2 linked regions of the Nothobranchius furzeri genome follow. The protein of the gene in region 2 binds, or shares a complex with, the protein of the main gene of each other region. Links are inferred from orthologs where the notes say so. Each region holds a gene or a part of one and is shown on either strand. Other genes may lie near its edges.

What was found. The genes of interacting proteins can lie anywhere in the genome.
Region 1: the proteins of cct5 (region 2) and dcaf12 are in contact, whole or in part, in a cryo-EM structure (PDB 8AJM), measured with the Homo sapiens proteins. The link is inferred for Nothobranchius furzeri from reciprocal best matches to the Homo sapiens genes CCT5 and DCAF12. Residues at the interface, in NP_036205.1 of Homo sapiens: Gly537, Glu538, Ser539, Glu540, Glu541; in NP_056212.1 of Homo sapiens: Lys91, Phe93, Lys108, His144, Trp186, Phe188, Arg203, Lys254, Arg256, Glu298, Val300, Arg344, Phe411, Tyr422, Leu440, Pro441, Ser442, Gly443.

Annotation. Positions count from the first base shown.
Region 1 is NC_091743.1:55,581,422-55,585,548, reverse strand, and holds the start of dcaf12 (DDB1- and CUL4-associated factor 12), read left to right. Parts: upstream 1-1,327; 5' UTR 1,328-1,907; coding exon 1,908-1,967; intron 1,968-3,284; coding exon 3,285-3,575; intron 3,576-4,127. UniProt on the Homo sapiens protein: Substrate-recognition component of a DCX (DDB1-CUL4-X-box) E3 ubiquitin-protein ligase complex of the DesCEND (destruction via C-end degrons) pathway, which recognizes a C-degron located at the extreme C terminus of target proteins, leading to their ubiquitination and degradation.
Region 2 is NC_091747.1:54,098,038-54,101,994, forward strand, and holds the start of cct5 (T-complex protein 1 subunit epsilon), read right to left. Parts: upstream 2,801-3,957; 5' UTR 2,647-2,800; coding exon 2,542-2,646; intron 2,172-2,541; coding exon 2,111-2,171; intron 1,980-2,110; coding exon 1,815-1,979; intron 1,414-1,814; coding exon 1,215-1,413; intron 1,090-1,214; coding exon 897-1,089; intron 804-896; coding exon 654-803; intron 565-653; coding exon 445-564; intron 368-444; coding exon 182-367; intron 105-181; coding exon 1-104. Other genes in the region: mtrr (methionine synthase reductase), read left to right, coding at 3,494-3,637. UniProt on the Homo sapiens protein: Component of the chaperonin-containing T-complex (TRiC), a molecular chaperone complex that assists the folding of actin, tubulin and other proteins upon ATP hydrolysis.

The DNA.
Region 1 (4,127 bases), on a different chromosome or scaffold from region 2:
TGTGCTAATCTTTTTAGGTGAGCTGCTCTTTTCCCTTCTTAAGACCATTTTAATTTTACAACAAATGCATTGGATAAGAACTGCAGATAAGTACAAATTCCTCTTAACTTCCCTTCATGCAGATGTGTTAATTTTCTTTCTATTCAGGTGACAAAACAGATTGTCCATTTAGGTTTTGTCCTTCACACCTAGAAACATCCTACTGCAAGGCCTAGTCAGCAGAAAAGATAAAAAAAAAGAAAAACAGGCTGAGGCCATTTACAGCCTGATTGTGGTCTGGTCTTTCAGAAAAATGTCAAGTCATGTAATGCAACTTCAAACAAGTCTCACTAAAATCCTACATGGTGCTCACCAATTGCATAATTTCAGATTTAAGAGTTATATTTTAGTTCTCATACAATAGAATCCAGTGATCCAGTAGTTATGTGATATTTTGTGGCAATTGTTTTATATACTTCTTATAGCCAGTTGGGGTCCATAATATGGACGTTATTTAGAAACATCCAGTTTTGTAGAGAAATATTTTTCAAGTTCTGAAGTGATTTAAAGTAGTAAAGAAGTGATTCAAAATAAATAGCTTTAGAATTATAGAGAGTTGCAAAACACAGAGGAGGTGCTGTCATGGTTTGGGGCTACATGAATATTGTAAAGTTGCAAAAGAAATTTTTTAACCGCAAACTCGTCGTCAGATGTGTTGCCCTGCCCCGTGTCGAATCCACATATTGGCCTTGTTCGAGTTGAGCCAGGTCTGCGCAGATTAGATCACCGATGTTCGCCGCAACACCCGGTTAGATTTGAGTCCGACTTGATGCCGATTTGCTCTGACGTCATGCATACGTAGGCAACGATATCCTCGTGAGATCAAGGCGGCCGAGAGAAGGGTCTTTTTCAAGTTGAGCAGCGCCTCGCCTAGAAAGCACACGAGAGCAAACGCACGCAGCTGGGGGAGTGGCTGAAAGTCGGCGTTTATGCAATTCATTCATTAATGTGTTATTTGTGTTAATGTGTTATTTTCTCGCGTTTCCTACGAGCACACTAAAACTACAGCTGATAACCTTTACTTATTATTATAGTCATATCTTCATATACAATATATTATATCCACAAGCATGTGAGGATGTGTTTCGGTTGCTAAGAGGCACCAAAATTCAAACTACAAATTAAACAAGTATGAACTCTAACACGATATCTTAATCGACCAAATCTCGCGAGAATTCACCTTGCAACGCAAAAAGATGAAAAACGCAAGGTTATCTTAACTTTACCGTATTTTCTTTTTAATTTGAAATAACAAATGATATTAGCACTGGAATGGGCAATTCACAATTTTTGCAATAACGAAAGCACATTCTGGTGAAATAGCTCTTAATGCTGAAGAAGTTAAATTACCCCAACCCTTTAACTGTCCTAATTATTCATATAAAAGATATATACGGTTTACTAAAGTGTACACCCGCACAAATGAGTGTTTATGTTGTAGAATAGTTAAATCTGAGATGGTGCTGAAAAAAAAACACAATTGATGTGAACGAGCACGCATGACGTCCTCGTTCACGTACGACCTTGTTTTTGTTGATGCTAATTTGCGTGCGGCTGCGCACTGCCGGGTGCATTTGCCGTTATCGTTAGCCGCGATTTAGCTTAAGAAAAAAAGAGTGTTTACGTCCTTTAGTGAATTTGTCGGAATTTATTTTTTACAACCCAACTTTTGTATAATTTATCTGGGAATATAGCAAGCTAACTTCACTGCCTTCAGCTGACCAACCTTATCCGAATGTGATCGCCCTTCCTTGTCGGACACTGCCATCGAGGGCCAAGGAACAAACTACCAAATCGCCATTATATGATCCAGTGTCCAGCGTTACTTTTACCCTCCATGTGGGTGAGGGAGCTGTGTGTGTCAGATTATGGCGAGAAAAACAGTTAGCAGGAAAAGGAAGGCAGGAGAGCCAAAGGACCAACAACAGGTAGGCGGAAACCGGTTGTATTAGCATTCCAACTAACACGGTGCTAGCCCGAGTTAGCACCTACAGGCTATCATAATATCTGATTTATATGTAAATAATTGTCCGGTGTTTTAAAACGACCAAACGATGGTCCAAACGCCAGCTAATTCAGCTAATAAACGAATGGCTACATTTGAAAGCAATAACCATTTAATGTTAGCATGACGTTAGCCAACGGCAACGCGTTATCTAACGACAGCTAAGAGCTACCCGCTGGGTGCGCTATGTCATTATTCATTGTAACTATATTTTAATAACATCGTTGCATGCGGGTGAATGAAACTAGCAGCCATTTGCCTGACTGGAGGCAACGTTATCACCGTTTCAATGAGAACGACGTCAAACAAATGTCTAACCTGCAGAGTTAGCCAAAATATATCACCCTGGTTTGCCAGTTACATTTAGGCCTGATCAAAATTACAATCTGAATATTTTACAGCAATGCCCCTATCTATCTGTCTGTCTGTCTGGGGGAAGGTCTGTGGTGAGGGATCACACTTTTTCACATGTTTTAGGTATGTCCCTACTCGAACTCGTCCAATTCAAATGATTCAACTCTGTTTTCGTATGAATGCCACCTTGATGCGCCAAACTGATTTTCAGGCTAATTGTTGCCTAAAAGAAATCTTAAAAATTCAGGAAATTATAAAATCATAACCTTTCAACACTCAGATCTGTTCAAATGTTCTTCACGAGCCTGAAACAGTTAAGGGGAAAATAGATTCCTTTTAAATTTGTTTTATTTTACTGTAAATCAAAATTAAATGATTTTTATAGTTTGTGAGTTTATTGGTTAAAACAAAAATGTCCTCCCATATTTAATATTTGTGTACTTGCTATAAAGAAGAAAAAACGGTTTAGCATATTGTATCAAACTATAGAATGAAAATTTGAATAATGCACCTGATTATTGTAAAAGTGAGCTGTTCTACCAACTGTTTTTGTTATTGTATTTTTAGGGATGTGGAAATTAAATTTTTTTTATATTATAACCTAAAGCAAGTCCTGTGTATTATCTTATTTCATGATTTAAAAATATACTTAATAAGCATTAACCTTGGCAGTGTGCATGTGTGTGCTTTTATTGCACCTCTTATAATCTGGAAAAACTCTTTAGTCTGTGTCAGTGAGCAATGTTTTCTTGGTTCTGTTGGGCTAAGGTACAGAGTAGCACAGACTGAAACAGCAACACTGATAAAGCACATATGCTGTTTTACATTCTTCAGCAATCTGTTTCTCTTTAAATACTTGAACCGTTTTCCTGTCCTATTTCCACAGCTGGGCTGGAGTCAGGCACCACACAAGCGGAGCCGTGTTTCTTGTTCATCTCGGCACGCCCAGCAGTGGTTGTGCAGTCAGAGCTCTGTCGTGTGTGCCCTCCGCGGGCGTGAGTTCAGACCTCAGCAGCAGCATGAGTTGCGGTTCCAACGGAGCCTGCGTGGCTTTGCAGCAGGCAGGCTACCTGGGATCCTCAAAGAGAAGGAATTTTCACTGGGAAGACTCAACAAGGTGTTTGCGTCGCAGTGGCTCAGCCACCGGCAGGTGGTATGTGGGACTAAGTGTAACACGGTGAGATGCCTTTAAACTGTCACTGAGACCTTTTCATACATTTGTAACATCTGATGTAATCATCTGCTAAATGAGTAAGTCTGTCTGGATTTGAATAATTTTCTGAAAGTGCTAGACCCAGTTATTAGAATATTTCAACCGGCTTATGAAAAGTTATCACCTTAAATACATTTGAAAGCTTATATTATTCAGTATATGGCATTTTTGATTGATTCTGATTAACCACGTTTTGCAAAGTATTAGATTAAGCATTTTAAGACTATGATTCAAGATGTTTTAAGATATTTTTCTGACAAAAAAATAGAAGACATAAAGAATTCTTTCCCTCAAGTTTTGTATTAAGTCATTTATTATTTAAAAAGAAGCTTAAAATCAATTTGATGCCCTTGTTTTATGGTGGAGCTTATTTCCTTTGATGCAAGTTCAAAATAACAATTGTGTAATACTTTTTAACGACTGCTCATTGTTTATTTTAGCACTCTTGTCATTATTTTGTTTATTGGAATAGAATAGACTTTATTAATCCCACATTGGGGAACTTCACTTGTTACA
Region 2 (3,957 bases):
GCTATCTCTGAAGCTCCGCCCCCATACACAATACGGTTATCTTTCACCAAATTGCGGATTACACACAGAGCATCGTGGAGAGCACGCTTGGCTTCCTCAATGATCTAATGAAAAGGTTTTGACCATTAGACATGAATGTGATGAAAAAGGACAAAAACGATACAGCCTTGTGAGAGCGTACCATTTTGTTGCCGCCTCGGATGAAAATGGTTACAGCCCTGGTGTTTTTGCACTCCTGGATGACGAGCATGTGATCCTTGGTTGTGCCAAAGGAGATCTCCTTCACCAAGCCAGCGGTTCCGAGCTTCTCTGGTGTCAGCTCGCAGAACCTCGGCACAATACGGCCTCCGGTAGCTATAGCAATCAACTAACAAAACACCAAAGGGTGAGCTCGTAGCAAGGGTAGCTCATTCTGACCTTTCACATGCAAGACTTCTACCTCACCTCAATCTCAGGCCCTCCAACCCAGCGCACAGCAGGCAGCTCGCTTTGCAGCAGAAGATGGTTGGCCTCATCATCAAAGCCCCACTGGCAGATGGCCAAGTTAGCACCAGTGCTTTTGACCTAGAATTAAGGTGTTTTTATTCTTCCTTGATTTGCATGAACCACAAAAAGTCATTTTTGTAGCATCGGGATTTGTGAGAATTACTAACCTGCTGGATCATCTCCTCAAACTTCTCTTTTTCATAATTCTGGAGGGCTTTGTAGTCCTCAACGGAGGTCACATCCAACTTGTGTTTGGTCTTGGGTTTAGGAGGCTCAAACGGGCAGGTTAGAATAGCGATTTTAACATCTTTGAGAAGCTAATTGAAAAGAGAATTTGTTAGCTCAGGCACGTTAAAGCATCACAAAAATGCAGCAATATTTACAACAAACATTTATATTTTAAATCATACCTTGGGCATCTGAGGGTGGCTGAACTCCTTATCCACTATGACTCCCTTAATGAGCTGTGTGTCCTCCAGCTTTCCTCCCACCTTGCCCTCCACCTTGATGAGCTCAAAGTCTACATCCTTCCTTTCCATGTCGGCCACAGTGAGGATGGCATTCACTGCAATTTCCGCCATCTGTCTGTGGCACCGGTTGATGCTAGATAACAACAATAGGATTAAAAGGTGATTTGTCAAATCTCAATAACTCACTTAAAAAGCAGCCAGGTCACAGGGGCACAGGAAAATGGCATCAACAACTACTAAAATAATAATTTAATTTACACTTTTGACCCCAGCGTTGTCATGGCAGTCTGAATGAGTGGTTCGGTGTTGTTGGGATCGAAGGGGAAAGTTTCTGCTATTTTGTCCAGCTGCTCTATGGCTATGCGTGCAGCTTGGTCGTAACCATCGGAGATCCTGATGGGGTGGATTCCTCGGTCCAGCAGCTGCTCGGCCTGCTCAAGCAGCGATCCAGCCAGCACTGAGGATGCAGGAAAATAGGTAAACAGAGTCAGAAATGCATTAGAAGAGCAGTAGGTAGTGGAGGTAGACCGTTATGGGGTTTTCTTTCCCCAATACCAACAAGTATGAGTCATTGCCGATACGAGTTGTCACTTTTTGGCCGATATCTAGACATTTTCTGATTCATTTGCATGCTAAAATGCCCCAATAGTAGCAGCACACAAATCACTTTTAGGAACTCATAATTTACCTGCCAAAACCTAATTTTATGCACTTTACCGAATTAAAACTATTTAACTAAAATAAAAATATCAATACTAACCAAGAATTCTATATAAAATTAATTAACACAGAACATATATCACATGTTCATCTACAAAAAGCATTCACACAATGTTCCTTCTGCACACGTTTACACACCAACAACTCCAGTGGTTCCATCACCAATCTCATCATCTTGGGATTTGGACAGTTCCACCATCAGCTTGGCAATCTGGTGGTCCACATCCATCATGCTGAGAATGGTGGCGCCATCATTAGTGACAGTTACTTCTCCATCCTTGTCAACCATCATCTTGTCAAGACCTAAACGGTGACATGACATGGTAAACCTGCTGTGTTTGTAACTAGATTAAATTAATAATCTAATGGTCACACAGACTCTCGACATCTCAGCAGTTATTCAAGTGAAATGACATCACTGCACTGGATCGTACCGTTTGGACCCAAAGATGTCTTAAGCGTTGATGCCACTGCCTTGGCTGCCATTATGTGAGACTGTAAAACAAAACAAGTGCATATCAAAACACATTTTACCTCTAAAAGTCACCCTCAAAAGGCATGTAAACAGCGTGTCGGCTGTATGGGTGATGTACATGACCATGCAGGGTACAGCCCTATGTAGCACCTCCTACTAGATGAACGCACAGGGAGCACATGGGCCTCTTCTTAGCATAGCTAACGAATTCATTTCATTTCCTAATCTAATTCAGCTTATTTTGCACAAACATCAGAATGTGTTGGACAAATTCACTCATGCAACACAAAGCCGTATGTATAAATTCGTGTTGTAACCAAATTAAATATCTAATAGCAGGTTTGCTTGTTAGGCCATCACGCTACATGTATGCTAGCTAGCTCATTGTACCTTCAGTGCATCAATGCCCGATAAGCGTGTCTTCTTGTCTTGGTCTTTAATGATGATGAAGGGCCTTCCATATTCATCAAAGGCTAATGTGCCCAAAGTGGACATGCTGATTTGGAGTTTAGAACACACAATCGGCGTTTATCTGACAGAATAACGCGTTTAATGATGTGATCCTGGAGTGTGGCTGAACTGCAAGCCGCACGGATCTGCCGGGGACTTCTGGAAGGCTCCACGGGTGGGGAGGGCGGAACCAAATTCAGTTCAGCGTGTTTTCTTCCATTCCTGTCACCTTTTTTATAAACGACAAAAGGCTTGAACAACTATATCATAAATTAGTCACAATCATACAAATTAATATCATTGCAACTGACAACAAATTTTAAACAAGGGGAACGTCTTTGTCGTAACTTGGTTTGTTCCGATCACGCGCAATCTCAGTTTGAGCTCAGATCTCGCGTGAATTCAGTAACAAGACTAATTACCGGTATGTTGGCAAGGAGTTGACGAGGTGAATTTTCATACAATTTAAAAAGGTAGAAATACTTTATTAACTTTAAACTGCTTGTATTTCCTGTGTATTTATTACGGACTAATGCCAGAAAACACGATTCTCTAAAGAAAGTGAGTCGAGTTTCTCGGAATTCCGAATTAGTTTACGGACCAAATATGAAATGTTATGTTCATAAAGTGTTCTTGAGTGAAAAACGTCCACGTGCGCTGTTTTGGTAACTAGTCAAAGTTTGACGCAACATCCTGGTACTGACGGTAATGGTGGCGTAGCGGTGTGTTAAACGTGTTTCTGTGGCAGCCTGCCTTTTATTTGTCCAAGTATGTTGGTAAGCTGAGATGTTTGTTAAAATGCAGCTGATAATTGATTAGTTAGTCTCACTATTTTACCTGTGGCGTTTTAGAATTGCCTAAATATTTATCTGTTTATCTGTTTCCCCCCAGCATGCCTTGTGAGGTGAAGCATCGATTTGTGGTGCTGTTTGGGTCCCAGAAGGGCCAAGCTCAGGCTATAGCTGAGGGGATAGCCGAGGAGGCTGAGGAGCACGGTCTGACTGCTGATCTCAGCTGCTTGGACCAAAATGAGAAGGTAGATGTTAATAAATTTACGTGAAACAGACTCAGTAGCCGCAGGAATTTGCCAGGGGCCTCGTGTATTAGGACGAGTCTAGCAGGTCAGACTACTCATGTATTAACACTAAATCATCGTAGCATGCACCCTTTTCCCACACCTATTTCACGGCTGGCTTATGTGCTTTTCTACCTTTACCTGCGTGTTTGGTGACACTTAATAGTGGGCTTGCAGGGAAACAGTGAAAATAAATATTGTTAACACCAGATGCACAAAAAATAAATAATAACTTCACGTGTTGCAATTACATTGTTGGATAATAAAGCATGCATATTATG